Linked DNA regions of Rattus norvegicus. The protein of the gene in region 1 interacts with the protein of each later gene in a biochemical or structural test. Links are inferred from orthologs where the notes say so. Each region holds a gene or a part of one and is shown on either strand. Other genes may lie near its edges.

Region 1 (15,810 bases):
ATGAGGAAGAAGAGGAAGAGGCTTATTTGAGTATGGAGAGACAAATGTTGGTAATAGTTACATGTACCCGCCTTTGTCCAAAGCAGCAATCATACCGAGTACGTGAGCACCTGCAGGTTTGAACTCCCTAAAACAAAGTGTGAATTAACATTCAGTTTCTTGGTAGTTTTTCATCCAGATTTATTCTATGTATATGTGTGTTTGCCTGCATGTACATACAACACACACGTGTGTGCACGAATGAAACACACACACACACACACACACACACACACACACACACACACACACACAGTGCATCCTATGTACGCCTGGGGCCCAGGGAAGCCACATTTTGAGGCACCTCAGTACTGGGTGCTGGGAATTGAACCTGGTTCTCTTGAAGAACAACCAGTGTTCTCAACCATTGAGCCATCTCTCCAGCCCAGGTGGTGGGCTTTTTGTTTTATTTTGAATGTTAAAAATATGACCTAACAAAAGAGGTCAGGCTAAAGTCACAGAAAAATAATGGGTATAAAAATAAAGTAAGTGACAATTCATCGTATTATCAGACAAATGGTAGTAAACAGTGAGAAAGGTTGTTAGTATTTATTGTATAACATTATTTTTATGGCCCTGTTTTCATGAATAAATACTACAAATTTCTGAGCAGTGCAAAGCTTAGGGTTAATCAACTGAAAAATGAGGGTTTTGTCTGTTTTTAATTTATATTATCCACTCACCCATTCACCCACCTGGCCGTCCATCCTTCTATTTGGTGTGTGGGTGTGAGTTCATGTGTGCCTTGGTGGTCAGAGGACAGTCTGTGGGAATCGTCTCTCCTTGCATTCTGTGGGTCCCAGGGCCCAAATTCAGGTCATGAAGATGATGGTGTTGAAGGTCAGGTCGGCATGATGTCGAACAGGCTCTTATCAGCAAATAGGTTAGGGATTATGGGTAATGAATACAGTGAGGTTTAGGGGTAGGTTATTAGTAGTCAGGCTTGTTGAGTTGATTTTGTTAAGCCGTGTAAGGAAAAAAATTGAGTAAAACATTCACAGGCTGGAACAGTGGCTCAGTGGTTAGGAACACTGAGTTCAGTCCCAGCAGTGGCCTTAACTCGGGCTCCACGGCATCTGATGCCCTCTCTGGCTGCTGATGGCACTTGCACACATGTGACAAACATTCACATAGATGAAAACAGAAATAAATCCTAAAAATCCTATGGTTTTCAGCATCTGATTTTTTAGAAAAATATTAGTGATGTTTCTCCCAGCATGGATGTTTGTCAGAAATCCGGGCTACCTTTACTTTCGTGATTTTGTTTTATGTTCCAGGTTTTTTGTGAGTTGTATTTTTATGTGTTCTTTACTAGAGATATTAATTTGAATTAGAGCATGGTGGTTTTGTGTGTGTGTATGCGTGTGCGTGTGCGTGTGTGTGTGTGTGCGCGTGTGTGTGTGTGTGTTTTGAATCAATTTTAGTATTTATTCAGGACTATTTTTAGAAACAGTACAGACAATATATAGTTTAAATATAGACAGTAAAATGGGGGGGAACTTCTCAAACAAAAGCTGAACAGTATTATAGAAATCTTTATTAACACAAGGCATTTGAGGTTGTGGTTATAATAGGTTTCCATTTTAATTATTTCCTTTGACTTTCACGGTGGCTGTAGTTCTTAGAGCTCTTGCCCTCAGCTGCTTCCTTTGTTGCTGGGTAAGGTTTCTGATACTTTTCTCTGATTGGCTTTAGGCAGAGAAGGCTTTGAGCCAATCAGAGTGAATTTCAGTTCCCTCACAGGACTGAAGGAAGCGCTGAAGCAGCTGTTGATTTATTTCCCTTATGAGGAGATTATATAAACTAAAATTATGGCTGCAGCAAGCTCCCTCTTGGGTATGTTTGAAAAATTGCAAGGTTCACCTGTAAGGAAGGGGGAAAATGATTAGTTTAAAAATGTGTTGACTAGAAAAAACTAATAAAGATAGTGAATTTGGGGCAAATAAGAAACTCTGGTCACAGGGTTTTTTTTGTAGTATTAAAAATCCCCTCTAAAATTACCTTATAATCTACACATTTTATTGCTTTTCAAAAGCAGAGCTTATACAGTTTTTTTAGCCAACTGTGAAAGGCAATTAATTGCGCGTGTTGTAGTAAATATATTGTTAGCACCCAGTCACCAAGAGTGGACATTTTGATTTCGTTATATGAATTAAGCTGAGTCAGTTCCGTGCAGTAGGAGGCTCTGCTCTTTGCCATCCTGCCCATGTCCACAGTCCTGGTGCATTTTGGGTTTGGAAATCTATATTAGTAACGGTATGTGAAATGGTTTGAGAGATCATCCCAATTGAATTTAATATTTTGATGGCTTTTATTTATAATTTTTTTACAAATATAAGAACTATTAACCTTGTAAAAGAAAATATATTTGAATTTTATAGATTTTAACTCATTATGTAGAAATGCTATTTTTATGTATTGTTCCTGTTTAACTGATTCCTCAGATAAGTTATATTTTAGAAACATTTATGAACATTGATTAAATCCAGATAAAGTAGCATAAAAGATATAAATCTTATCCACTTATTTATGTGTACTGTATATTTAAAACAAATCATGGAATTACGACATGGAATCTGTGTTCTAGGTTATTTGTTTCAAACAAAGAACCACACCGCACTATTTCAGATCTGTGTTTCGTTAACTATGTTTCTCTGACCTTATTGTCTGTCTCCTGTTGCTGGGCAGGAAATAGAATGCTGGCTGCTGATTGGCTGAGTTTGTATGTAGCTCTTCAACAGCCACTTAAATTCTTGAGGTTTTGAGCAGGAAGGTTATAAGCTAAGACAAAACAGCTTACCTTTGGCTCATGGCTGAGATCTCTTGCTAGAAAGTGAAAGAAGTGGGTGCAGGGGAGGGGGTTCAGGAAAAAGTTCTTTAAAGAAGAGGCTCACTGCTCTTCCTTTAAAAAGAATTTATCAAAAAATTGAAAAAATTACAAGGCATAGAGACATATCAGGTAACATACTTTTCTCTGGTTATTGATGTATAAATTTCTGTAGAAAATGTTGATATTTCACCATATTTACTTGGATCCAAATATGTAAAGTAAGGACTTTATATATATATATATATATGTATATATACATATATACATATATATATATATATATATATAGTTTTTAAACTGCCTTTTGATTAAAAAAGTACTTCCGGTAAAAACTTAATTCATTACATCATGTGATGTGCTTCTAGATATGCAGACATTTTCTGCTGTAAGATAGACATGCTTTTTCTGTAAAATGAGTTGCCGTCACATGGGAGTGCTTTGACTCGTGTTGCTGCCTCACAGCGAAGCAGATTCTACAGAATAACATAGATTGTCGACACCTCAAGTCCAGATGATACCTAAAGTGAGCTTTAGGCTACCTTCTGGTAACGCAACCTTGCAGATTTGTCTGCAGGGTACACGCCCTTCCCTGATGTAAAATTTTCCTGATGAGCTTTGCTATGCAAAATAGATTTCTCGAAGCAGATTGCTGATTGGTTTGCACAGATATGTCTGAACTGGTTTGTACTTGTTGTTCATGCTACTTCCTTATTGTTTTGTCTGTTTTGTTGTTAGACTTAGAACCTATGAAAATCTGCTGAATGGCTGCAGTGTGCTCCCTTGTGGGTAGTGAAGGTATTTACCTCAGTCTCTGGCAATACTTTAGTTATTACTGAATTTAATGGCTTTGTTGCAAAAACCAACTTTACTTGGGTTGTATTTATTTGTATTAAGTGTTATTTGGTGGAGAGAGTTTAGTAATAATTTTTGTTTATATTGGCTTACTAGATTTTCTAATTTCTCTTTCTGTCTCTCTCTCTCTCTCTCTCTCTCTCTCACACACACACACACACACACACACACACACTCACTCAATGTTATTTAAGAAAAAATTTGTCTTAGAGTCTGAAAGTTACGCGTAAGCAAGCAACACACAGACTTTACATCTAGGCTCAAGCACACAGCCATTCTAGATGGCCTTTTGTGTGGTTGCAGTCTTACACTGTGACACAGGCTGGATAGGAACTGACTGTAACTCAGGTTTGCCTCAGAATTGTAATGCTCCTCCTGCCTCAGCCTTCTGGTTGCCAGGATTACCAGTATACTCTACTTTGCTTGGCCCGAATCCTTCTAATTAATTAATGTATTAATTAATGTTATGAATTAGTCACATCTCATAATTCTCAGGAAAGCCTGTATGGTAGACACAGTGCCTCCTAAGACAATTTAAGGTACACTTTTCTTTTTAACACTTTAAAAGATTGAAATGTTAGGCACCTGGTTCATCTGGGAGAAGTGGGGATTCAAATTTATAACTCTCAGCAAAGTTCATCGGTTATTTGCACTATGAAAAGTTAAGGGGTTTTTGTTGTCATTGTTTGTTTGTTTTTGTTGTTGTTTTGAGACAGGGTTTCTCTATATAGCCTTAGCAGTTCTGGAACTCAATCTGTAGACCAGGCTGGCCCAGAATTCAGAGATCCACCTGCCTCTGCATGCTACTACCTTTCCCACCCAAGTCTTGGGATTAAAGGGATGCACCACCACACTGGCTTAAGCTTTAAAAATGTTTAATTTTTTTTTTTTTTTGTTCTTTTTTTTCGGAGCTGGGGACCGAACCCAGAGCCTTGCGCTTCCTAGGCAAGCGCTCTACCACTGAGCTAAATCCCCAACCCAAAAATGTTTAATTTTAATGTAAATAATTATAGCTCTTGGTTATGCATAGACTATCTGAAAATGGGCGTTTCAAAGCTTAAAGGAATGGTGCTTGAGTATTTGAACATTTACGGTGTTCATTACAGTCGGCACAGTGAGTGCTGAGCTGTGCTGTCTGGGGTAAAGTTCACTGACAGCACCGAGCAGTAGGCATTGGAAATGCCAGGGGTTGATTTCTTGCACCAAAAAGCTTATGTAGGAAACTGTATAGGTAACAGGACTTGGAAGTGGATGAGGAAAGAAAATCTCCAAGTTTAATTTTAGACTCTTAAAATAGTACCAGTGTGCTTTTGTTTGAAGGTTTCTGTAGAGTTGAAAGATGCTTTTTCTAAGAAGTACTTTAAATAAAAAGAAAACACTAAAAACTGTTTAAATTATTGAATTAAATTCAAAAAGTGAATGCAGAATAACATAATCTGGACAGTCTTTGACAAAGTGCCATGTTCTTAGAGCTGTATTGGTCTCTGACAAACAAATCAGGCTTATTTTTATGGAAAAACATTGACTATTAACAACTTAGGTTGCTTATTTATTGTGGGTAAGTTACATCAGTGAAGGTGTTAAAACTTTGATGTAGTATAGGTTGTTTGTGGCATTTTAGCCCCATTCTTGATTGAGTAGCACTGGGAAGTATATCAACAAAAGAGAAGGGCGGTAGGGAGAGCGGATACAGCACACAGCTGCACATCTACATGTGTTCTATTCTGCCTATAGTTAATCTCTCTCTTCTTTCTTTCCTCCCTCTTCCCCCTCCCGCTTCAGTCTCTTCTACAGCTGGCTATGCTCTCCTTTTGGTGGGACAATACCCAGGACCTTCCTTCACATACCAAGCAGAAATGCTCTGCAATGAGCTTTAGTCTTAGTTCTGTCTTCTTTTAAATGCTCTTTTGCATTAACCTTTTGATAGCATAAAATTGGGGATACGGGGTGTCTTTGTCTTTCTTGTTATCTTAATGTCATTTCACAATTAAATGTAGCATCTACATCTTGATAACCTTTAGCAGATAAATTTCCTTTTGCTTGTTTAGAGTTTTTAATTAGGAGGTAGTGCTGAATATGGTCTAATGGATATTCTATGTCTGCTCAGGCAGTTTATGTGGTAAATCACACATACACATATCACACACACACACACACACACACACACACACGCACGCACGCACGCACGCACGCACGCACACACACACATGCAGCCACTCACCCACTCACCCAAATATATTGTTTTAATTTTACAGACTAGAACTTCAAAATGGAGCTATTGTCAAGGCATAGTTCCTTGGAAGGTTCTGAGGAAGGATTTGTCCAGACACATCTTCTAGCTGCCTCTAGTTGTTTGGCTTGTGATAGTTCCTGTCTCACATGGTTTTATTCTGTGCATGTCGTAGTCTCAAAGACATTAATCACTTTGCAGTAGGGCTCACCCTAGTAACCTTATATTCATTTACAATTTAAACAGTAAGAATATAGAACCCCATTCTTAATCATTTTGGGAAAAACTGTCAATTAGGCACTTTTGTGGCCCTGTATATACTAGGATGCTTCAAGACTTGCCAATGATCAATATTGCTTGGCTTTTGGATGTGAATTTTTAATGACCTTTACCTGATTAGTGTTATCTCCTAATGAAACATACTGCTTAGTCATTTATAGATAAAAGGAAGAACTATGAAAATTAGAAAATACTTTAGCAGAAAAAAGATGTGAGGATGAGGGGCTGGAGATGTAACTTTGCAGTTAAGAAAGAGTATTGGCTGCTCTCACAGGGAACCCGAGTTTGGTTCCCAGCACCAACATGGTGGCTCAGAATTATCTATAACACGAGTTCTAGAGGATTCATCACCATTTCTTCACCTCCTGCATGCACATAAAATAAAAATAAATACCTTGAAAAATATTAGATTCATTTCTGTGTATATAATATGAAAGGTGAAATTTAATTGAGGATTAATGATTAAACTTGAAGCACAAGGAAAAAGATGACGTGCAGTGCTTAGTCTTGGTTGTCACGTGAAGAGATCTAGAATCACTGAGAGGTAGGCCTCTTGGCTATGCCTGTGGATGGGTTTATCTTGATTAGGTTAATTGGGTAGAAAGACCCACCCACTGTGAGTGGCCCCATTCCCTGGGCTGGATGAGGGTCTATAGAACTGGAAAAAGTAAGGAGTGTGTGGGAGTTCATCGTGACTCTGGCAGTGGATGTGATGTGACCAGCCACTTTAACCCCAGCTGCTTCAGCCTCCCTGTCATGACCTGTGTTTCATCAAAACAAATCCGCCCTCCCCAAGCTGATTTTTTTTGTCAGTATTTTATCACAGCAACTGAAAAAGTTGCAGATGCAAATTAACCTCATCCAAAAAGTCAAAGACGTTATATTAGGGGAGAAAGCAGCAAAGCGACAATGCAGATACAAATAAGAGCATCACCAAGAGTGCACTCTTGGACAGATAGGACGCTAGCAAAATTGACCAAAGGAGAGCATATTCCAGTGTATGTAGTTTTTAAGTTGTGCAGCTGTCACTACAGAGGATGCTAGCACATTTTTATTATTTCATAGAAGAACCCTGTACTCTTAGCATTCATTTCTTGCTTTCTCCAAACCTTCAAACAGAGCTGGAGTGATGGCCCAGTGGTTGGTTAAGTGCTGCTCTTGTAGACAATGACTCATGTTTGGTTCCCAGCACCTGTTTTTTTCCATGGACTTTTTACGTTCCTGAAGCTTCTCTCATTTTTAATTCCTGTATCAAGAGTAAAACTTAGCTTTGTTCCTTCTTCGTTCTCCTGTATCGATGTTCTGCTGTGCATTGTTTTGTCCCTTTTAGATTACGTGACTAGTAAATACGAGGACTAAGACATAGTAAGGATTAAGGTTTCTGTTGTCTTTGTTTTATATTTATATGATCTAAATTGTTCATATTTCAACTTTCATTAAACTTGTAATTAAATGACTTGTCTCAATCATTGAAATCCTTTTCTTTTTATTTAAAGATTCAAAATGGATAATATAGAGGAACCACAGAAAAAAGTCTTCAAGGCTCGAAAAACAATGCGAGCAAGTGATCGCCAGCAGCTCGACGCTGTGCACAGAGTCAAAGAGGAGCTGCTGAGAACTGACGGGAAACTGCTAAATGGGAACCATGAAAATGGAGACCTGGATCCTACTTCACCTTTGGAAAACACAGATTGTATTCAAGATAAAGAAGAAGTGAATGGTGTTGATGGGATTTGTTTTGAATCTGAAGAAAGTAAAACGGAATGGAAAGAAACACCGTGTATCCCCACTGTTGGTGTAAAAAACAAGCAAGAAGATTTGAATAGTGAAGCTTTGTCCCCCAGTATAACTTCTGATCTTGCTTCTAAAGTAACCACTGAACCAGCTTCTGGTACTCCAGCCTCCGATAACCCAGGATGTGATACCCTAGCCTCCGATAACCCAGGGTGTGATACCCTAGCCTCCGATAATCCAGCCTCTGATAATCCAGCCTCCGATAACCCAGCCTCTGATAACCCAGGCTCTGGTGATCTGGCTGCAGGAGAGCTGACGACTAGAGTACCAACCGCTGGTGAGTCCGCCTGTGAGGAGCTCCCCTCCAGCCATCCATCCTCTAGCGATCCCTCTTCCAGTGATCCCACCTTTAGTGATCCCTGCTGTAGTGATCCTGTCTCTGGAGATACTGCTTCTGAAGAACCCACCTCTGATGCTCTTGCCTCTGGTGACTCCGCTTCTGGTGACTCCGCTTCTGGTGAGCCAGTGTCTCATGAGCCAGCTTCAAGTGAGCCAGCTTCAGAAGAAAGAGTCACAGGTGCAGTGGCGTCTTGTGACCTGGCCTCTGGGGAGTCAGCTTTGGATGATTGTGTCACCTCTGGTGACTCGCCTTCTGATGATCTGCCTTCTAGTGAGGAGTCGCTTCGTACGTCTGTCTGCAGCAGACTGGCTTCTGGTGAGTTGATTCCTGGTGAGCTCACTGTGGAATCAGCCACTGACAGTTTTAAACCAAGTTCAGTGCCGGTTTGTGAACCAGGTCCTGACACTGACAAGACAGAGCAGAATAGCAAAAACAATGATGATTGTCCAGACAGGAATGACGACGACGAAGACTTAGCCCAAATTCAAAGTAAAGATGCATTTGACGAGGGGAATAAAGTGAACAGTAATGTTGCTGAGAAGGAAGGAACTCTAGAAACACACAGTGCAATTATTCATTCTGATCATCTACCTCCAGAAAATACGAAGAAGGTAGAGGAAGACGCTGTTGCCGAGCCTGCTCTTGAGGAAGAGGCCATCTCCAGCAGCATGGAAGTTGACCAAAGTGAAAAGGACAGGCATAAAAGTCCTGTAGAACTTGTTGACGCTGCCAGTGAGGACCCCACGGAGGAGGGCAAGAAGAATACTGTCTCAGACAACACGGACTCTATGGAAACAGATGAGATCATCCCTATCTTGGAAAAACTTGCACCCACTGAGGATGAACTCAGTTGCTTTTCAAAAACTTCTCTCCTTCCAGTTGAAACAAGTCAAGACTTGGAGGATAAAATGGAGGGTTCTTTTGGCTCACCCTCAAAACAAGAAAGTAGTGAGAATTTGCCAAAAGAAGCCTTTTTAGTCCTTTCTGATGAAGAGGATATTTCGTGTGGAAAAGATGAGTCTGAAGTTCTAGCACAGAATAAGACGAGCTCTCCAGGTTAGCTGATTAAGGATTTTTATTTGCTTTAATAAACTGTTTAATACAACATACTCAATAATATCAATATTAGTGATCCATGAGTAAGGTTTTAAAGAAATGTTGGTTTTAAAAGGGGAGAAGTTGGGGGCCAAGGAGTTCAAAGTCAACTTTGGCTACATAAGTAGTTTGAGGCTAGCCTAGGCTACCTGAGACCTAGTCTCAAACCATTATCAAAATAAATAGAAAAAAAGTCTTACTTTTACAAAGTTAGAAGAACTAGTATGTCATAGTAATCTGGAGACGAGCTGTTGCATATTGCTAAATGATAGCTGATACTTTCTAAATGATTATAATCATAGTCTAAGGAGACTAACCTAGTATTCCTTTTCTGGGAAAGTTCAGACATTAGTGGATGTCTGTCCAAACATCGTATGCACACTTCAGCTGCTAGTCAGTCGCTTTCTTCGCTCTCAGATCAAGCCCTCCAGCTGCATGGACAAAGCTAGCGCGCGTTTCTTCTCCTGTTAAATCTGGCTATTCTCAAACTTCACATAGAGCCTTAGTCCTCAGCCTTCCTAGTGCTGTGACCCCTTAATACGGTTCCTGATGAAGTGGTGACCCCCAATCATAAAATCTTTTTTGTTGCTACTTTATAATTGTAATTTTGCTACTGTTTTTTTTTTTTTTACCATAATGTAAATATTTTATATGCAGATGGTCTTAGCTGACCCCATGAAAGGGTCATTTGACCACAAAGGAGTGGTAACCCACAGGATAAAAAGCACTAACCGGAAAGATAGCATTTGCACCATTGTACTGGTATAAAGCTTAGAAAATGTGTGGAAAAGGTAGGTTTTCCTGATTCCACATTCTCTTGATGTATTTTACAAGATTGAAAATGTTTATTGGCCTTTTGTACTTACTTATGTATGGATTACCTGTTACTTCCTCTTTTTTTTTTTTTAAACCACAATGAGTATATTTCTATCAACTAATCTATAGGACTTTGTAGTTTTTTGTTTGGTGTGCATGTGTGTGTGCCTTTGTGTGTGTTTGTGTGTTTATGTGTCTAAATATCCTTACAGATTCAAACCAAAGCAAGGGGTTGGCAGGCTGTAGCCCATCAGTTTAGCAGGACAGAAGCAAGCCTGTTTGTTTATTATATTACATATAGTTATTGTTACTTCTGCACAGGACAGCATCAAAGGTTTTGGCATTACCAGAACTATAAGATCTGGTCACCAACTTTAAGTGATCTTACTGTCTAGTTTTGACAGGCTAGAGCGAAGCTCATGGAAGTTAGAACTATGAAAACATAGCAACTTAATGAGAAGGCCGTTCTTGAGAAGAGCAGAGGTGTCATGACAACCTGGCCTACCCAGAAGGATGGAGTCTATAAGAACTAATGAGCTAGTAAGCTTTGTATTGGATGAGTTTTAGAAACCCCTGTTCTGAGCAAAGGCATCTGATTATTTTATGTTAGAGAGATGGCGCAATGCTGGATATTCATTTGCTACTCTTGTCGCCGAAGACCAAAGCACCCATATGGTACCTCACAACCTCCCATAACTCTACCTCTGGAAAGACAGAGCTCTTTTCTGTCTCTTCAGTTACCTACACACACACACATACACACACACACACACACACACACACACACACACACACACTCATATACATACACACTCATACACACACACATACACACACATATACACACACACTCTCTCACACACACACACACACACACACACACACACACACACACTCAGACATACACATACACATCCATACCCCCACACAGGCACACCATACACCCAAAGACAGTTTGTACAATCCCTAGAGACTGAGCAAAAAGTTAAAGAAATAATGGACTCTACTTCCTTGTTACAACTTGTTAACATTTTTTCTTATGAGTTCTTTCTATGATACAATGTAAAATGTACCATACATTCTAATCCTTGTCATCTATTCTAAAACTCAATATATGTTCTGTCATAAGTGCCATGAATCTAGTAGGCAGATCTGACAAATGGTAATTCAGCACAGAAGATTTTGAGTTGTTTAGACCTTAGCAGTGTGTCATTTATCATTATCATTTTGATAACTGTGGCTACTGCTCTAGTTTTACTATGATTATTTATTGTTAGGTGGTCAGCATACATGCAAAGGCCAGAGGATAAGGAGTCAGTTCTCTTTACCATGTACAGCTTGGGCATAGATGTCAGGCTGGCTGGCATATGTCCTTAACTCTCTGTGCCACCTTGCTGGCTCTGGTTTATTTTAATAACAGAAAGTCAAGAAATCAGAATGATTTATAATAGTTGTTACCTATTATAGAAAATTAATAAGTAAAATTATTGACTTTGAATTTAAGTATTTTTCATATTCTGTTTATTAAACATAAATACGGCTTGAATGTGAACCTGCTCTTAAACTTCTCAGTTTGTGCTCCCATATTCTCTAAATTTCCTATTTTGTGACTTCAGTTTTGTAAATCATTTGTTCAGTAGTCCGAATGGTGACCAAAAATGTGAATTAATGAGGTGTTCCTGATTTCCATAGAAATAAGGCTCCCTTTTCCACATTTGTCCTAACAGAGGGAGAAAGGAGTGAGAAGGACAGCAAAGCTGAGGAAGAGAAGCGAGTGCCCGATGAGGAGCGGCCGCCTGGGAGAAGTATGCATGCTCCAGCTCTTGTCTTGGTGTGGCCTCAGTCATGGGCTCCCGTTTCTCCCCACGGATGGTTGCAGCACTTTTTAACTTAAGCCACAACTTACTGATGTTGTTTATGAGTAGCTCAGGGTTCTTTGGCTGTGTTTCGAATAGGAATGTGTTTACTGTGTTTGTTCTGTTCTCCATTCTGCAGAGGACGCAGACTCCCAGTAAGGCTCTTATTAGGCTGAGGGCAGGGGGCTTTGCCTGGCTGTGGTCAGTGAGTGCCGTGAGTTTCTGTCCACAGCAGATGCATGGGGAAGGAGCTGGAGCTGGTGCTGGAGACCTAGAAGAAGCTAGAAGCCAGGGTTACTTTGGTTGACTTTTGTCTATATTAAAAAGTTGTTAATGATATTAAATAAATGCATATATAGGTGTGAATACATTTCTTTGCTATTCTAACAAAGCTAAATAGTGTTTCAGCTCCTCTCTGCCTTATATCCTGAACATTATTTTACAGATCAAAGGAAATAGGTTCCACTTTGGTGGCCATAAACGATGTTGGAATACAAGTGATTTAGGTTTTGAAATGCTGAAAAGCCAGTCCAGGTCTTCAAAGGACTTCAAGAATGTTAACATTTGAAAAAAATGTTTTAAGTAAAATCTTTGAATGTGTATTCTGTGCCAAATGTACTTTTGTAACATAATTTTGCTATCTGTATGTATCTGAACGCTACTTGGCTATGTTAAATACCTTACATACTCTTACTGCTCTAAGGTTGAATGATTAGGGCACGGCTCAGTCAGAATGACAGCCTGGCACTGTTTTCACAGAGGAAGGAGGATTAAATCATTCAGCATGTACATAGCTAACAGATAGCTGTGGCATAATGATGGCTGTTATATGTTAGCGTGTTCTTGTGTGCTGTGGGATTGAGCAGAGACAAGAGCACGATGGGAGGCCTGTCTGCATGGCAAAGCTATAGACAGCTCTCCTTCTTAATGTGACAATTTCAAGGAAAAATGCTGTTTTCAGTGTGCATTGCTAAACACTTGGGAAGTTCTGTTTGTCATGCTGAAATCATTTATTTCATCTTTAAAGCTGAGCTTTGTTGAGCATGCCTACTGAGTGTTTGTGGTCCTGAGAGTATCATAGGATGAGTGGCTGAGCGCAGCCTTGGCTGGCTGGAGTGTGGAGGCCGTGACCGAGACAGTGGACTCAGCAGTGCTGGTTGCTTTGTTGTTTTTCTCAGATGAATTTTCCAGACGAAAACGGTCCAAGTCAGAAGACATGGACAGTGTGCAGTCCAAACGGCGGCGATATATGGAAGAAGAATACGAGGCAGAGTTTCAAGTAAAGATCACAGCCAAAGGAGACATCAACCAGAAGCTTCAAAAGGTGGCACACATTGCGTTTCAAATGCGTCAAGAGTGTCGCTGCATGCTTGGAGATTTTCACCATGGTCCTATTCTTCTCTGTTTACCTTGACATAACCTAGTCAGAGCTTGAAGACAATGACAAGCTATGAAATCTGTGATAAATTTTATTCCTCTGACTACTTGGCTACAGTATTTTTATTTTAAAACATTGTAGTGAATATTTAAATAGAAGGGAGCTATGACATTTTTCTGTTATTAAAAAACTAAGGATTTTGAATTTTTCTTTTTCTATATGAACATTATTTTACAATGAAGAAGAAACAAACTTTATTAATATTTAAACGTTTTAGTAGACTTTAATCTCTATAACATTAAGTTGGTCCATTCCCAAATCCCTTTTTATGTTAGTATAAAGCAGAACAGAGACAAGACTTTAGATGGATTAGGAAAAGTGAGTGTTCAGAGTAAAGATTTTTTGAATCTTCCCTGTATATGATATGCTAGCATATACAATATATGTTGAAAACAATTAGTGCTGTATGTATTTTCGGAGTGTGAGGAAGGGGAGCCGTCTCAGGGTAAATAGTGTGCCAGCTCGGGTTCGCAGTTTTCATTGGCTGCACTCACAAGCCAGGCATGGGTGTGCTCACCTGTCCTAGCTAGGCCACTGGGAAGCTCGGAGGCAACTTCGGGGGTCCGAAGGGCCAGCCAGTCTAGCCAGTTGGTATACTTGCACTCAGCCAGTATGAGATACTGTTTCTAACTGAAGAATCATGGAAGATACCCCGTGTTGATCTCTGGACTCCATGCTTACCTTCATGAGCACACATGCGTGGTATACCACATGTGCACATGTTTATGTGTTCAAATGTTTGTAGAGAGATGTGAAACTCAGGCTGCCTCTGTCTCTGCGTCTCCCAGTCTCCTTCTCCCATGAGACATGGTTCATAATAGCTTAGGCTGTATGGGCTAAGTTATAGCCCAGTTGACCTCAGTCTTGCAGATGTCCTCCTGTGTCAACTTCCAGGTGATATGAATACAGGTGTGAGTCACCAAACCTGGTTCTGCTTTTCAGGGTCTTATGGACTTAGTTATAAATTAATAATCTAAAATTTCTTCCACTGAGATACTAGTACAACAAAAACAAGTATTTATGCTTTCTTTAAAAAGAAAAATTAAGGAATAAGGCGCTAAAAATGCTGTTAGCTTCTTCCTTTGCATGTGAGGTGGTAATGGGTACAGTGCTAATCACATTGTGAGATAAGCCTGTGAGGGAATGGGGAATGCCTGTGGCTTGATGTCTCCATTGCTAGGACAGCTCAGACTGCCAGGGTCCTGGTCACTGGGGGCCAGATGGAGTAATAGAAGGACTGTGAGGAGGCATTTAGATAAAAATATTTCATCAATTCTGACACCGCAGTGGCATTTTTTAATGTATCTCACACAGTTCCCAATCTTTAATAGGTTAGAAAAATTTTGAACTTGTTCTTTTCAACAAATTTTGTCTTTATGGTTTCAGCATAATACGGAAGATGAGAAAATGCTAAAACTTCAAAGTATTTTATGATTTCTACTGTATGGAAATGTTTTTCTTAGGGTGTACTTTCATTTTGAGGTAGTAGAGAATCTTAGTAGGTAGTATTGAGCTTTGGATTTTATTCTTTAAATTAGTTGATTGTATTTTATTCATTAGGTTTATATTGTTATTAGTCTTTAATATTTGTTTTTGTTTTGTTTGCTGAATTGCCTTTTTGCAACAGGATTTTTTATTTTTTTATTTTTTTAGGTCATACAGTGGTTGCTAGAAGAAAAACTGTGTGCCCTACAGTGTGCTGTGTTTGATAAGACGTTGGCAGAATTAAAAACACGAGTGGAGAAGATAGAGTGCAACAAGAGGCATAAGGCAGTGCTCACCGAGTTGCAGGTCTGTCCCATGCCAGTCTTCCATTTATAATTTATCTTCTGATCGTGTGTTACCACTTATATATTTGAGGTTGAGTACAGAATTAAATACTTTTGCATTCTATAAAAGAAGGAAAGGTGTCTGTTACTAGTTTTTGCCGGGGCTGCTGTAAAAACAGAACCACACATAGCTGGATGCTTTACCAAATGGAATGAGTGTATTCACAGTTGGAGATGGAAACCCAAGGTGAAGGTGTCAGCAGAACAGTTTTCTCTTGAGGTTTAGTATTGTGAGGAAGGGTACATGTCATGCCCTCCTCTGCTCTGCCCTCCCCTCCCCTCCCCTCCTCTCCCCTTCCTTCTTTTATCATCACCACCACCACCACCACCACCACCCCCATCACCACCACCACCACCTTTTTAATTCTAACTTTGGCTTAAATTCTACTTTTATCAGATGTGTAGGTACCTA
Region 2 (16,447 bases), on another chromosome or scaffold:
ACACACACACACACGTACACACACATGCATGCGCACGCACACTCTCGCACACGCACACACACATGCCCACACTCTTTGTCTGTGTGTCTCTATCTCTCTGTCTCTTTCCTGTCTGTCTCTCTGTCTCTGTCTCTCTTCCTTACTGGCTGTACACCTTTCTGTCCCTCTGTACCAAATCAAATTGCTAACCCTAGACTCAAAACTCAGGGCATATCCAGGAAGCACCCACCCTATCCCTACACCTAACTGTACGGGGCACACCTTGGCAACCAGGCTTCTGCATCCCGGAGGCGGGTTCCACCCAGGCTGAAAATCTCCGTGATCTGAGGAAGAATTAACATCATAGGTCAGTATAGTGGGAGGAGATAAGGCAAGGTCAGGTAGGGTTGGCGCATCCCCCCAGCACTAACCACTGGGGTGCCAATCCCTCCTATCTCTTCTGCTGGAGCTGATTCAGAGACATCATCTTCTTTGTTCTCTTCTCCATCCTCCTCAGGGCCAGGGGGCTCTCGTTTCACAGGTGGAGGGTCCAGGCCTGACGCCTGGAAAGAGGAGGGGCAGCAATCAGGACAGGGCCGCCTGAGGCAAGTTTCTGTAGCAGCTAGTCCACTATGCAGACAGACCTTGCTTCTATCAGTAAGAGATGCCGCTTCCCTGCCTGTGAACCTTTCCCACTCTCAACCATCGCCAGTCGCCTGTGAGCTGAGCAACATCGCTTGCCTTTGAAGAGCAAGGCTAGAGATGCTGGGTAATTCACCAGGATGCTCAGAAACCGCACACCCATCGCTCTATCGCAGCACCACGATCACATTACTATCCTCTTGTTTACCAAACACCAGTGTGGCACCAACGGACACCCATGACGGCCCTAACCTTGCTAAGGAAGCCAGGCTGCACCGTGGAAGAAGTCAGGAAGGTTGTGACTGCTGTCCACTCCTCTGGGGCATCCGCCTTCTCTTGCTTCACCTGGGGCAAGGCCACAACCCAACCTGGGGCAGAGCCCTGGGTCTCCTGCATGAGGGAAGATGACAGCAGACTTGGTCTCAGCTCCACGGCACAGGGTAATGGAGCTGGAAAGAGCAAGACCAGAGTCTTACCTGTGCTGGGTTTTCTGTGGAAGCTGCAGCAGGGCCAGGCACCTGCATGAGACTGCTGGTACCCTCTTGTAAATACACAAGGTCTGTGTCAGGTTGGGGCAGTACAAAGCCACTACCTGCTTGCCGCTTCCCTGAATCTTGGACAGGGCCCGGTGGGGTTGTGACCACAGCCAAAGGAGCCTTTAAGGGAGAGCTCAGTTGCAGCTGTCGAGTAGAAGCAGACCTCTTTTGGTGGGTATGATGTGGAAGCAATCTTGCTTCCTCCTCAGACCCTGGCCCAATACTGGGCAGCAGCCGCTTCTGTGAGAATAAGATTGGGTGCTGTGGTCAGCTGGTGCCATCGGACCGCCCATGCCCACCTGCCCTACTCAGTGAGCCTGCTAAGTTCCCATCAGACCAGCACAGTCTGCTGCTTCATGACTTCTCACCCAAGCCTGCCGCTCAGTCTCCTGTTACCAACGGCAGTACCAGATGGACTCATTTACCCCAGCACAATGTCTGTTCATCCTCAACTAGAGTTACTAGACCACCCACCCATCTACTAGGCTTGGCCACCACTCCCAAGTACTGGGGGATGAGGTGGGCCAGGTCCTGCCTAGTCCATGCACCTAACCCCTCCTGCCCCACCCACCATGGCAAACTGCAGGCACTGGCGCCAACGACACTTCTGGCGCTTCTGGTTGCTGCCCCCGAATTTGGGCTTGTCACAGCAGAAGTCGCAGTGGCCACAGTCCATCCGCCGTAGGCAGGCTGCACAGGCCCCACACTTGCGGTTCTGCCGCTGGTTCGTATAGGGCTGCTGGGTGGAGGGAACGATGGTGCCATCACTAAGGGCCATCCTCAACACCCTCGTGGAGGGGCTAGCTACACACCAGGCTCAGTCTAACTCTCCTCAGTGTCTGTGACTCGGGAACGGTCCACTCACTATGCCAGCATTACAGCATCTGCTATGGAGACAGCAAGTACCTCTGGACCTCACTTCCACCAGGACTCTGCTGACTTCCCATCCGTTCTCACTCCTACGCCAGCTGTATTGACTTAAGCTATATGAGTGTTTCTCTGTACCCTTGTGATGGTCACTATTCAGCCTGCTTGTGCTGCACCAGCCATCAATGCCGGCTCATTTGAGAATAAGCACTGTCACTGTGCTGCTAACTCCTAATTCCTTCCCCGATAATTGCTTATCCCACCCTGGTACTCACTATTACCCACTACTAGTTCTAGTACAGCATCTGCTTCCTTGGGGTTAAAGAAGCAGCAGGAGAGCCCAGGCTTATCCAGGGAGCGGGGCCACTCACTAGCTCGTCCTCCTCTACACAGTCATAGACGAACTCAGCAGGTGCTGTGGGCGTTTGGTCGCTGATGTGCTGCAGAGGCAAACAGGCTGGGGTCAGGCAGGTTCTGAGGAGTGCGGGATTGTGCCTTCCCCCTGCCCACCAGGGCATTACCAGTTCTGTGGGCTCTGGATGCTGTGACGCAGCGTGTGGAGGAAGTGGCGGGGCTCGGGAGTGACGTCGAGAAGCTACCCTCGGGCCTCTCTTACTATGATCATATTTACCCTAGAAGCCAAAAGATCAGTTAAGGCCTGGTGGCACCGGTAGACACTGGACCCCAGGGAGCACAGAAAGCACGCACTGAATGGTCACGCAGTGTGCAGTAAGGCACTGACAGTGGGAGGAACCACAACGTGGGGAGGGCGCTGCTGGCATCCTTGAGGGTGGCCTCGGAAGCGATGAGCAAGGTGCTGGCAGAGAAAGGCAGGTGGGCAGAACCAAGGAGACGAACATGGGGCAGAAAAGAAAATAAGACATGAGGCAGGAAAGCCAGACTGGCAGGAAGCAACAGCAGTGCTGGTGAAGAATTTAAAAGCAGAATGAGCTCTGGTCTAGCCTTGGCTCCACCATCACCAGTCCCTTCAGCCTGACTCACCCAAAAACAGCGCCGTTGCAAACACCTCCACTGGCGCTTGAGACCAGGGCGGGGAAAGCGAAGGCAGATGCGGCAATGGCCACAGTCCTCTTGGGTCTGACAACCCCGACACACACCACACCCTCGGTTCTGTGGGGAGGCCGGAGGTATGATGTCTGGAGTAAGGGCTACGAAGGCCAGGGACTGAGGTGAGCCTGCACCCACTCCATGTGACTGGACTCACCTTCTCCACAATCCGCAGGCAGCGTCTCTGCTCACACTTGCAGAAGAGCCCTGAGGCCACATCGTTGGGCAGCTGCAGGCAGCAGATGGAGCACACCCCGCAGTCTTCTTTCACCAGGCAAGCTGTGCACTCCCCACAGCCAACTCGCTGCCGGAGACAGATGGGTAAGCTCAGAAGCCCTGGCTCCAGGACCGCTGCTCTCCAGATGCTCACACCCCTACTATGCCAGTCTCCCACTAGCCTCCTTGCCATAGCTGACCAGCTTGCCAACACCAAGGCCACTACGATGCCTCCTCCACGTGCTCTGTTAAGTGCATCCATGTCTACTGATAGCACATTAATTCCCATTACTGGATCTATGAACAAACCAACAGCCAAATCCCTATCTAAAAAAACAAAAACCAATGCATGGATCCTAAACTCTCTCTTAGCCCTACCACACACTGCTTCCCTGTAGACTACACAGACATAGTGTTCTTACCTTAAACATTCGCTGTTCTCGGTTGAAGGCAATTCTCTGTGCTGGTGGAAGAAGAAGGGAGAGAAACGGAAACCAGGCCATTAGATATGTGGCTTCAGCTACTACCTTCACCCCAACTTTTACCATTTTACCTATAGCAAGAGTGGGGCTCACAGGCTGACTCCAGATATACTGTAAGCCTCTACCATATAGCCTCCAGCGTGGCCTGTCTAATTCCCTTTACCTCGGCAGTCTTTGCACAATGTCCTGCGTCTCTCCCTTTTGATACCATCCCATGACAGGTGGATTCCACAATTCTCACAGCACCTAAAGTGAAAGAGCAGGGATCAGCACCTCCCATCCCACCTTGGCCTTGCCCACCTGGCCACTGTAGCCAACACTCACAAAGGTGCAGGTGCAGGCGCAGGTGCAGACACAGGCACAGGCACAGGTGCAGGCGCAGACGCAGTCACAGGTAATAAAGCTGTGGCAGGAGCGACCTTATTTCCTTCCCGTGGAGTCTCTTTCCTGACCTCACTTCTCTGTGGCCCAACCTGCTGTTTCTTAGCCTTGGCTGGTTTAGAAGTCTTCTTTTTCTTCTTGCTGGGGACAGCCAAGGGATGGGTCTGAAGATGAAGGCAAGAAGCATGCAGATTAATGCCAGGGTGTCATGTGACACAACTGCCCTGGTATGGGCACCAACCTTGTCAAGTACCTTGGGAACTGGGTGGCATAAGATGCCTTGTCTGAAGTCAAACAGGGTAAGATCGCATGCAGGGCCCAGGTATCGAGTCAGCTCAATTTTGCTTCGGATCTTTTCTCCTGTGGGGCTGAGAATGAACCAGAATGACTTGGCACCAAGATGGGGCCAATGACAATGACAAGCCACTCACACATCCTCACCCATCCGGTGAGGTGCAGGAAGCAGCCTGCAGTCTGACTGTGTGCCCCACACAAGGCCTACCCCACTGTAAGTAACAGGAACTCAAAATGTGAATGTAAATACCAGCATGCATACAAATGTTAATAAATAATATAACTGTGAACCCCCTTTTGATCTATAACATCACATATTCACGGTAATTCCATAAAATCATAATACAGTGGAAAGTTCTATTTTCTGGCAATACTTTAAGCATTTTCATGTCATAACAACAAGCATTATTTAGGCATCTGCAATGGTGTTGCTGTAAACAAGTCTAATTAATGCAGTGCCTACAGCAAAATGACATACAGGACGTCAGGTAGGAGTCAACACAGGAACAGTACGCCACAGCCTACACATACAGCTATATGGTTCTCAATGTTGCTTCCATCACTAACTACATATGGTCTTGCAAGATTATGTTGTCTGATGATACTACCATGTCCTAGTTTTCTTCACATGACAGCCCATTAAATAACATGTTTCTCAGAATGTATCAGTAGTAGTAAGCAATGTACAACTACATGAATATAGCTTAGATGTATAGTATAGCAGTGAATGGTATCACCTGGGTTTGTGTAACTGTAGTCACTGTATACTTCTCAGATTGTACTACTACTGCTAACTGTATATAGACACAATACATAGGCTAGACACAGTGTTGCATGCCTTCAATTCCAGCACTTGGGAGGCAGAGGCAGGGGGATGGATTTCTCTGAGTTCAAGACCAGCCTGGTCTACCTAGTGAACTCCAGGGCTCTGTAGCGATCCTGTCTCAGAAATAAATACTAAAAACAAAGAAACATAAATATACTTACAACATGTAACACTAGTGTTAAAAAATTATACAAGTAAAAATCAATACAAGATACAGAAATATTAAGTAACATGTAGAGGTTGGAGAGATGGCTCAGAGGTTAAGAGCACTGACTGTTTTCCCAGAGGTCCTGAGTTTAATTCCCAGCAACCACATGGTGGCTCACAACCATCTGTAATGAGATCCTATGCCCTCTTCTGACCTGCAGGCATACATGTAAGTAATAAATAAATCTTTAAAAAAAAAAAGAAAAGTAACACATAAATATGTATTGTTTTGCTTTAAGGTGGAGGTCTCATAAAGAAACATGACCCAGAACTTCTAATCCTCCCGTCTCTACCCACCCCTACCCCCTAGTGCTAGGATTTCATTAGTATACCAACCGCCATGCTTAGTTTATGGAGTGGTGACAAACTCGAGGCTCTATGAACATTACTAACACTCTCAGGACTTAAATATGTTGTAATGCATGCAAAAATGAGTAATCAAAAAAGTTTGTAACAGAAATATCTTTAAAACACGAAAATGAAACTATATGCAAAACACGGTGTAAGCATCATTAATGCTGAAAGACGGTGCTCCAGGTCTTTTCACCTCTGAGCTGTGAGAGGCAGTCACTGTCTCTCGAAACAAACTATCTACTCCTTGTTTGTAAAAACAAGTCACTTTAGAAAAGGCACTTACTGAACTGATACTTGGTTATACAAGTTCAAACAGACAGGGGGCCTTTCCTAGGCATAGTACAGCACAGAGACTACTGAGCCCTCTTCATATCATCCTATGGGAATTGGGATTCAGAGAAATGTCAAAAGCATGGCATTATGGATTCTGATCCTACTGTGAGAAACTTTGTTATTGCTGGCCCAGAAGTAACACATTTCCTACCTGCGTCCACAAAAGTAACAAACTCATTTACTAACCTGATGCATGTACATATGTACATGCACAATTACTTAGAAGGTTTTTAATTTTTATACAAGCTCATGTGAAAAAAAATAAGAAATTTTATTACATTCTTCTAGGGAATGGCAACTTAAATATACAGGAAGAGTGTAAAACTTTTAATAGTTGCATCAGTAATACCATGCTTATAAACTATAATGTTGACATGTTTAGAGTCAATTCTCATCATATATGATAATTATATATTATTTAGTTGCTACAAATCCTGAATTCTTACAACAAGGAACACTCTGCCTACGGGAGAAACGGGGTTGGTTCCAGCAAGCCTGACACATTTTCAAGCAACTGACCAATAGTCCTGTTTTATGTGTCTTTGCTTAAAAACACTGTAACATTTGTTTCTTACGAATGACTCCAGGACTGTTAAAGAGTAAGAGCCACTGGCTTTAGAGGATGTTTTATCTAGGTTTGCCTGCTGATATTTTGTTTTTCTAAAGATACCTGCCGTACAGAACCTGTACTATAAGTACCATGTTTTTACATCATATCACCTTCTGAAACATGCAAGCCAGCCAGCATCAGCTGAGATGTTTATGTTTCTCTGGTTTTTTTTTTTTTTTTTTTTTTTTTTTTTGGTTCTTTTTTTCGGAGCTGGGGACCGAACCCAGGGCCTTGCGCTTCCTAGGCAAGCGCTCTACCACTGAGCTAAATCCCCAACCCCCGATGTTTATGTTTCTCTAGTGCCCACTGACAAGTCTTTGGCTTTCCTTAGAACAATGCAGGTCACCAGGCTTTACTGCCCATTGGTTCACCGTTTCACAAATTTTGCTGTTTACTGTTGTTCCTAATTTTGTGGTGTTTAAACAAAATCTCAGGCATTCGATTTTACCACAGAAGACTTGGGAGCCAGATGCTGGGGTGAGAGCATGACAGCTCAGAGAGGCAGAGAGAGCACCCAGCAGACCTTCCTCCTCAGCTGACAGCCCAAGCAGTCCCTACTCATGCAAAATCCCTTCCTCAAACTGAATGTCCTCCCTTCTACTGTGGATCCCTCTGTCCACCCTTCTGACTACCTCTTACTCTCCATAATTCTTTAATAATCTTATGCTCACTTCCTGTCAACTGGCTGCTTGTTCTGCCTCTTGACCTAAGGTTCAGCCACACCACAGCTAACCCCAGGTTTCCCCCCCCCCCCCAGTAAATACAACTAATCCCAGGGTTCACAGTGTGATTAAATACCCTACAACAGTATCTGCTCTTTCCAGAACAGCCTCACACACATCTGAACATGCTTCCTCTTCTCTTTCCGGATGGACCATTTCTGATTTTGAACGCTGTAACTCAACCGGATAGCATTGCAATTCATGCGTGTAAGAAGCCTATCTGGCAAGGAGAAAAGGCAGTATCCTTGCTCTCGGAGCACTAGAAAATACTTCAGCAATTGATTTGGGAATCATTTTAAACAACAAATTTGCCAACAACAAAAATATGGCTCTAAATAGACGGTGGACCAGTTTATAGAACCAGAAAGAATGAGAGAGAGAGAGAATATATAAGAGTTCTTATTCAACTTTGATTCCAAATACATGCACTAGGCAATTCAAATTCTTTAGCTATCCCATGTGTGTCTGTGAATAATCACAAATGTACTGTGAGTATCGACTTTGATCAAATAAACTTTATTAAGAATAGGTGATTAAGAAAACACAAAACTTTTAACAAGGACTATGTGCACAACTTTAACCACATCCATAGATTTAAACACACCACCCCCTTTAATTACTAACGATGTCCAACTCCACTGAACGCTGTCCACAGCCCACCCGTTACCTCCGATAATAGATGTCTGAGCGTCCACACGAGGCCCCTGACTTTCGAAAGGCCTCTCGGCGTTTCCAGCCAGGGCCCAGGGCTGGGCAGTCCTGCCAGGCCTCAGCCATAGATGCTTCAGAAGCCTGCAAGATTGGAAGAAGGTAAAGTATGGGGAAAAGTGGCCAATTATTTCCAGGCCACAAAAGCCATACGTTTCCTTTAATACTTAACCCCAGATTAGCACAAGTATGTCCTTGGTGCAGGAAATACTCCCAGTCTTTGACTTAACAGTCCCATCCCTCCTTTTTGTTCTCCTCCAAACATGCATATTACCCCTCCTCAGTCTGAGAAGACTTGTTCCTCCTACTCTGGGTAAGAGGCCCCCAATTCTTTCCTTCTCAGGATACTACACCAGTGTTCTAACCACACATTTAAACTTTCCTTCACCTGAATTTCCAATGTCTTGCAGTGCTCTAGCTGCATCTCTGTGTCTGAGTCCTGGATTCCTCCATACACTGGATCAAACATTCTTGCCATTTCTCAGGCTGGAAGCCTCTCATGTGTTCTGTTCCCCTTACGTTCAAGAGCTCTCCCCAAAGTTTATTTTTCCCTCACTTATTCCGATCCATAACTCCTCTCCAGTCTCAGTCTCAAATGACTCTATTGCTCACCCCTATGGCCAGTGTTAGCTACTCTTTCTCTTAACTGTACGTATCATTCTCCATTTCTCTTATCATCTTGTGAAACTTCCTTGTTCCTCCACAGTGACCTGCCTCTCTTATTTCTTAGCCTGTGTTCCAGGACAACGCCATAGCCTCCCAACCATCAGACATTCTACTTCCTTTTTGTTCGCCACGAGTCTCCAGTCCGTCCCTCATTATTCTAACCCTACTATTTCTACTGTCTCGAGGCCCTATCCTTGCATTATCAGCTTTGGGACCCCATTTCTATCCTGTTAACACGAAGGCCCAATGACTCTCTGAACGTTCTCTCTCTTCTTCTCCTGGCCATCCTGGTCCTATAATCTCAACATCACTGTCAATGTCCTGAGCCACATCTTTTCCTTTTCTGTCTTCTTATCCAGTCCCCCCAGTCCTCTCTTTCAATATCCGGAAGTAGCCATTCCTTCCCCTGACGTGAGGGCCCTTCGCGTCTCCCCGCTAGCGTTCGGCGCCTCCACAGACTCCTCCTGAGCTCTCGCCACTCCCACCGCTATCTCACCAGCTTGACACCAGGCTCGCAGCTTCCTCGGCTCTAGGCCGGTGGACCCATGGGAAGGATCCCGCTTGCGCGACCCGCCGGTTCTACTCTTCTTCTTCCTCCTCTTCCACCGCAGCCTCTTCCAAAACAGTAGTTGTCGCCTCTGCGGCGGTTGGTTAGTCCCGGAACCGGAAACCCAATGCTTGCCTTTGGGGCTCCGACTAGGACCAGCACCTGTGTGTGCAGCCTTGTCACGCGTGCCCTCAATGGGGAGGCTCCGCGCCTGCGTATTGCGGTTTCAGGGGCGCGCGGTTTGTCGGGAACCTGCAGCGCCTGCGCACTGACAACACCCGCAGCCCGCCGGGTCTCTCTTGACTGTGCGCCTGCGCACCGAGGATGGTGCCCAGTCAATGCAATCTTCCCTGCTGCTGGTCTCCAAAGTGGCTCCAGACACAAGGGGGCGTGAATTGCCTCGCTGGCTCGGCCCACTCTTAATTTACGTCTCCACAAAAACCACCAGCAACGAAGTTAAGCCTGTCCACTTCCTTTTCCCGGAGACACAGCTCCTTTGTTCCTGTGATTACCTTCTTCAGGACTGGTACCCACTTCGTGAATAGGATCACAGCACCCTGGCCAGGGTCCCTTCTTGGGAAACAAGGAGGAGGCGTGGTATGCAAGCAAATATAATGAGGGCGCCAAGGGAGAGATTGCCATTCCTCAGAGGCCCAATAGGAGAGAATGGTGAACTGACCAAGGTAATTTATTTTGCTTTAAGACGACTCCGTTTTGCGTGCTTCACACACCTGCTCCTCGGCACTGCTGTGTTATGTGTGTTACAGAGTTGGAGAGTTCCAGACGACTGGGAAAGATCACTCGATGAAATCCAATTAGCTGAATTTTATTAAGCTGGCCAGCTAACTGCACCCACCAGATCTAGATAAGAGACTGAAACCCAGGCTAAAAGGGAAGGGGGAGTTTTAAAGGCAAAACCACAATTGGTTCATTTATGAGGAATTTGTAGCTATGTGAGAAAATGCTTTTCTTCCACCTTGCATACAACCATAAGCATGTTTAAAGAAGTCAGAGCTAGCAGTTAATCACTGCACAGTAATTACACATTTTGGGGACATGGATAAAGAGACTTTGAGGATTCCCTGGAGTTGTTTCCAGGTTCTGCTGATAGACTGAAGCCCTGAGGTAAAGTAAAGCACACCTGAGGAAAGTGTCTTGATTTGGGCCACACTACATTCTCCACTGGTTCTGAATCATGTGGATCAAATCACTGATTCATATTCATGTTGGGCTAAATGGTACTATTTTGCCCGTAGGAACTCAGAAGTCACAAGTTTTGGTTCCTTAGGGCTAACATAAAGCTCCTAAGTCTGTTGATCCAGCCATTCCTGTCCTTGTAAGGAGAAGAATGAGAATAGCGGAGCCCACCCTCTTGTTTCTACTGACAACTCTGGCAGTCAAAAGGTGTTTTCTACCTTCAGCCCCATTGTGTGTAACACACACACACACACACACACACACACACACACAACTTTTGTTTACTATTGATAAACAATCAGGGGCCCAGAAAGGGCAATGTTATCATTTGACTACCTGCTGAATGGGGGCATCAAAATCCTTGGGGAGAAGAACTTAACCTTCACCATCAGGGTATATAATTGAGAGTCTCCTGGCCCCATAGGTAAGGTAAATCCTGTAATAGACACTGTTTACAGAGTCTGGTTAGAAATCTTTTGGATTTATTGTTGAAGAAACCTAGACAAGAAGTTTATAAAGGAAGGTGCAACTAGAAGGCCTTAGGAGGAGGAGGGTTAAGAAGGGTAGTATGCAGTTCCATACTAGACAGTCGATGATCCACTGGCCAGAGACACTGAGTCATTTCTTACTTTTTTTTTTTTTTTTTTTGGAGATCTTTCTGGAGTTGTCAGATCTTGTCTTTTTACCGTAACCAACTGGTTGACGTAGAAGCATCATTCTTCTCTGAGAAAGACCCAAAGATACCTTTCTCTGCTGGTAGTAAATCCTACCCTCACCGATTTTGTAGCAATATGGTGGCCAGTGAGTCTCTTTGGCCCTACAGGGTAAGGGTGGTCTGAGTTACCTGTTAAGAACTCTGGATGCACTTAGATGAAAACTGGTGATAAATATCTAGGAAAGTAGTGAAAGACCCCCGAAGGGATCCTCCCACTCAAGTCTCGGGAAAGACGCGCACCCAGTAGGACACAGACACCGACTTGCTGTAACCACACGAGGAAGCTTTATTGTAAGCGAGATGAAACGAGAGCTCAGGCCAGCATGCTGGGGTCGAGACTCATACACCACACAGGGAGTAGAGGAGTTCGACCCCGACCTGAATTTTCACAGAGCTTATAAAGGAAAAAACCACAAACCAGGGGGATCAAGAGGGAGGGAGGAGGGGAATTCCAAAACCCTAAACTGCCCATACAATTAGGTCATATACTAGTCATGTGTAACACTAGGCAACACACCCAGGACTTTGTGACATTGTGATTAGGGGTAGTGACATTTTACAGGGCCATTGGAACATTGTGGCCGGAGGCTATGGGTCATTGTGGCTGTTCCAGGAAACTTTTCATGCAAGAATGTTCCGGGAACCATTGTACAGCAAGGGAGGGGTGAAAAGTTCATGTTCTCACAGACCCTACTTCTTCTTTCTGGGTAGCTAGGCCCCTACTTCTTCTTTTTGGGTAGCTAGGCGGCTTATTATTAATTTTTAATCCTTCAGTAGTCCCTCCACTCCAGTGGAAATGCCAGTGATTATACCTAGGACTTTGAGAAAGGGTAGGACCTGACCTCTCATTTGTCGTACCATGTTGCTATAAACCCTCTGATTGGGATCGTCAAGGGTTCTCTACTAGGTACCATTCCTAATTTCGGGGGAAAACCACCAAGGCACAAGTCCCAGACCACAGGGTAGGCAGTGGTAAACCCAAGTGCTAGGTGGTAAACATCAAGCGAGGTGTTGGGAATGTTCGGACATAAGGGAGGGGTGATAGTGCACAGAGTCAAAGTATTAACGTGGTCTGAGGGAATCCACTGTGCCCTGAGGAGTTAAAAAGCAATCTTCAATACCTTAAAGATATGAGAGAGATAGGGGTGGTGGCAGTATTTGGCTCAGAGCAATTAATGAGAAGTGAGGTGAGAGAGTGTAGTAGTCCAATGGTGGTTGTGAGTTTGACCTGTAAGGGACAGACACGACCAGCACTCTCCAGAGTGCCCAGGCAGAGTATGATTCCTTAGCAGATATACAATTAGTATGGCCCAGATTTGTCCCGTGGTATTTGCAGGATCAATATGGGTAACCATTTTAAGTTTCTGACCACTTTTTGCAGTCATCTTCTTTTGGGTCATAGAGAGAATAGGCATAAGCGGTGAAGCCCTGAGGAAGAAGAAATAGAGAAGGGAGTTATAGGGGACTGATCTGGCCTTTGAATTTCCAAACCCTATTAGGATGGGCTGTTGGTTAGAGGTAGAGGTCATTTGATGTTCAAGTAAGTAAGAGCTACACCAGACAGGTGGGTCTCCCAAACGTCATCAGGACTGAAAACATGGCCCCACTGTCCAGAAGAAAAGAGATGGATTGCCCTGATACTAAGATAACTACCCAAGCCTACCTGTTGGAGACAGCAGTGGTTGGACCAATAGAGCATAGGCCCCATCAGTTGCCCATGACCAGACCTAGTAGGCTGGAGGGTGATCTTGGCTTGATGCCTTCATCCCTTGAAGGACATCAGAACAGTCAGGGCCTATTGTCCTTCTTGCTGGCACCATGGGCACGATAGGAATGGTTTGTGAGGGTTTGGACAGACCCAAACCCGATTACCCTCCTGACCGTCCTGGAAGTTCTTGGGCTCTGCCAGCTTAGGCAGCTGCTATGGCCACCTGAAAGGCTTCAGGCATTTTTGTTGGGGGCTTTTTCATCTCTCCTATGATACATGTTGAAGGCCACAGCTCAGACTACTTCCTGTGAAGTCAGAAGTTCTTTCTCTAGAGATTTAAGTTTGGCTCTAAGGTCAGGGAAACTCTGGGAGAAGTGGGTCACAAGGAGTTGTTTTCTTTCTGAGACTAGAGATCCAGGAAGGTATAGTTTAAGAGGGCGTTGGCCCTGGGATTCAGATGTCCCTCTCACCACCCCTGTGTTTTTCTTTGAGGTATTATAATGCTAAATTCTGTACATAAAGGTCTAGGCCTATGAGTGAATTCTGACATTTACAACCCTTTGTTGTGCAGACTATTGGTTAAATAAAAATGGCTACAGCTAACTAATGGAAGGATTAGAGGGAAGCAGGTTTTTGAGTTGCGTGGTTGTGATGGTTTGAATATGGTTGGCCCAGAAAATAGCACTATTTGGAGATGTGGCCTTGTTCGAGTAGGTGTAGCCTTGTTGGAGTAAGTGTGGCCTTATTGGAGGAGTGTGTCATTTTGGACGTAAGCTTTAAGACCCTCATCCTTGTTGCCTGGAAGTGAGTCTCCTCAAAGCAGCCTTGATGATAATGAACCAAACCTCTGACCCTGTAAGCAAACCCCAATTAAATGTTGTCCTTATAAGAGTTGTCTTGGTCATGGTGTCTGTTCACAGCAGTAAAACCCCAGCTAAGACACTGGTTGAGCAGGGTGGAAGGAGCCAGGTCCAGCATGGCCACGAAAGTGACAGTGTTGAAAGACCCCCAAAGGGATCCTCCCACTCAAGTCTCGGGAAAGACGCGCACCCAGTAGGACACAGACACCGACTTGCTGTAACCACACGAGGAAGCTTTATTGTAAGCGAGATGAAACGAGAGCTCAGGCCAGCATGCTGGGGTCGAGACTCATACACCACACAGGGAGTAGAGGAGTTCGACCCCGACCTGAATTTTCACAGAGCTTATAAAGGAAAAAACCACAAACCAGGGGGATCAAGAGGGAGGGAGGAGGGGAATTCCAAAACCCTAAACTGCCCATACAATTAGGTCATATACTAGTCATGTGTAACACTAGGCAACACACCCAGGACTTTGTGACATTGTGATTAGGGGTAGTGACATTTTACAGGGCCATTGGAACATTGTGGCCGGAGGCTATGGGTCATTGTGGCTGTTCCAGGAAACTTTTCATGCAAGAATGTTCCGGGAACCATTGTACAGCAAGGGAGGGGTGAAAAGTTCATGTTCTCACAGACCCTACTTCTTCTTTCTGGGTAGCTAGGCCCCTACTTCTTCTTTTTGGGTAGCTAGGCGGCTTATTATTAATTTTTAATCCTTCATTCCCCACTTCTTCTTTTTCATCAGCTCTAATCTTAGAGCCATTGTTCATCCCATTGTAACTCTTGGTACTGTTGTCGCAGGACTAGTACCTGAACAGCACTCACTCTTTCTTTTATAAATGCCACCAGCCTATTGAGTATACATGGCCCGAAAGTAAGTAGAAGCATGAGAATTATAATGGGCCCAACTAAAGTAGAGAGGAGAGTGGTTAACCATGGGGACTTATTAAACCAACTCTCAAACCATCCCTGTCTGTCTTCTCTTTCTTTTTTCCGTATATCTAAGCGCTCTCTAAGTTTAGCCATCGAATCCTTGATCACTCCAGAATGATCAACATAAAAACAACATTCTTCTTTTAGAGCAGCACAGAGTCCTCCTTCCTTGAGGAATAATAAATCTAGTCCCCTTCTATTCTGTAGTACCACTTCAGACAGGGAGGTTAAAGACTCTTCTAGTTTAGTTATAGATTGTTCTATGGATCTAAGGTCAGTATCCATAGCTGCTCGTAATTCCTCATAATATTGGGGGGTCTGAATTAATGCAGCGGCACCCGAACCAACTCCAGCCGCTATCCCCAGTCCCATGAGTACTGCAAAGGTCAAGGTGATAGGCTCTCTCTTCCAGCGACCTCGGTGATCAAACTCATCTACAAAAGAGCTATCATCATGATATAGGAGTCTAGGAACGAGTTGAACCAAAATACAGTAATCTTTGGAAGTATTGAAAACAGAAGTTGATACACAAGGAGTGAGACCAGTGTTGCAGGCCCATGCTGTGTCTAGGGGGGGTACTAGATACTGATTACCTCCCGTAGGCTGGACGGTTTGTGTTTGATTACAAAGGTGCTGTTTATCATGAGGTACCTGGCCTAAACAAAGTCCACTTCCTGAGACTGCTGTTAGAGTTAATTTTCTGTTTTCCCCCCAAGGGCATTGAGAGGGGTCTGTTGTTTTGTTGTAACCCCTGGTCTGAGCAATACCTTCATAATATGGGGGGCTAGAGGCATAGCACAACCAACAAGACTGAGTAACGTTAGGATTGGTATGATTCAGGACCAGGAATGCCCCTTGTGTTAAGCTAAACAGACGATTTTCAGTGTCCGGGGGTATGGGAGTATTTGAAGTGGAGGGAGGTTCTTTAGCTAGGACATTAGGACCTACAGGTTGGGCTGGGGGGCTACTGAGGCTTAAGCGAACCATGACTGATGATCCAGGCTTGTTATTATAGTCATTAAAAACTACCCCCCATCTCATGCCCCTTATCCATGTTTGGGTATCATAATTTTTACCAGTGTCTGTAAATTTGATCCGAATTCTATCTAAATCAGCAGGGCGACAGTCAAACCTTTTATATGGTTCTATTATGACATACCTCCCTGGCCCAGAGTTTTCAAAAGAAAAGGTAGCCCTGTCATGAGTATATTCGCTGTCCCATTTCCAATCACCGTCATTGGAAGAAACACAACTCCATTTAGCACAATAATGTGAGGCTGGTCCCCCTCATATAGTCTGCTTACTATGCTCTGGGCAGCAGTAAAACCCATAGCTTCTTACTTGATTAGGGGGAATGGAAGTGGGGATAATCTGTTTGAGGCAGAAAGCTAGGTCAGGCCACCATGTCCCTGGCGGTGCTATTTTGGAAGTGGTGAATAAAACCTGATCCAGAGCAGGACCAAGAACCTGCCAGGTTAGAATTAAAGGCTGATGTGGGTTGTAATTTGGTAGGTAAACCTGACCTGAGTGAGGAGCAGTCTTAACTGAATCATCTGGTGGGTGCTCACGGTCAGGTCTGGTGGTTTTGGCGTT

What was found.
Region 2: the proteins of Atf7ip (region 1) and Mbd1 form a complex in vitro, tested with the Homo sapiens proteins (2 studies listed by BioGRID). The link is inferred for Rattus norvegicus from reciprocal best matches to the Homo sapiens genes ATF7IP and MBD1.

Annotation. Positions count from the first base shown.
Region 1 is NC_086022.1:171,150,757-171,166,566, forward strand, and holds part of Atf7ip (activating transcription factor 7-interacting protein 1), read left to right. Parts: intron 1-1,733; exon of another isoform or gene 1,734-1,875; intron 1,876-7,726; coding exon of another isoform or gene 7,727-7,733; coding exon 7,734-9,420; intron 9,421-12,002; coding exon 12,003-12,080; intron 12,081-13,309; coding exon 13,310-13,455; intron 13,456-15,222; coding exon 15,223-15,360; intron 15,361-15,810. UniProt on the Homo sapiens protein: Recruiter that couples transcriptional factors to general transcription apparatus and thereby modulates transcription regulation and chromatin formation. Can both act as an activator or a repressor depending on the context.
Region 2 is NC_086036.1:70,138,325-70,154,771, reverse strand, and holds the start of Mbd1 (methyl-CpG-binding domain protein 1), read right to left. Parts: upstream 9,521-16,447; 5' UTR 9,388-9,520; intron 8,310-9,387; 5' UTR 8,295-8,309; coding exon 8,185-8,294; intron 4,540-8,184; coding exon 4,425-4,539; intron 4,336-4,424; coding exon 4,115-4,335; intron 4,037-4,114; coding exon 3,954-4,036; intron 3,772-3,953; coding exon 3,731-3,771; intron 3,397-3,730; coding exon 3,250-3,396; intron 3,156-3,249; coding exon of another isoform or gene 3,027-3,155; intron 2,842-3,026; coding exon of another isoform or gene 2,767-2,841; intron 2,657-2,766; coding exon 2,546-2,656; intron 2,465-2,545; coding exon 2,396-2,464; intron 1,897-2,395; coding exon of another isoform or gene 1,729-1,896; intron 1,398-1,728; coding exon 1,098-1,397; intron 1,012-1,097; coding exon 874-1,011; intron 543-873; coding exon 411-542; intron 324-410; coding exon 262-323; intron 1-261. UniProt on the Homo sapiens protein: Transcriptional repressor that binds CpG islands in promoters where the DNA is methylated at position 5 of cytosine within CpG dinucleotides. Binding is abolished by the presence of 7-mG that is produced by DNA damage by methylmethanesulfonate (MMS).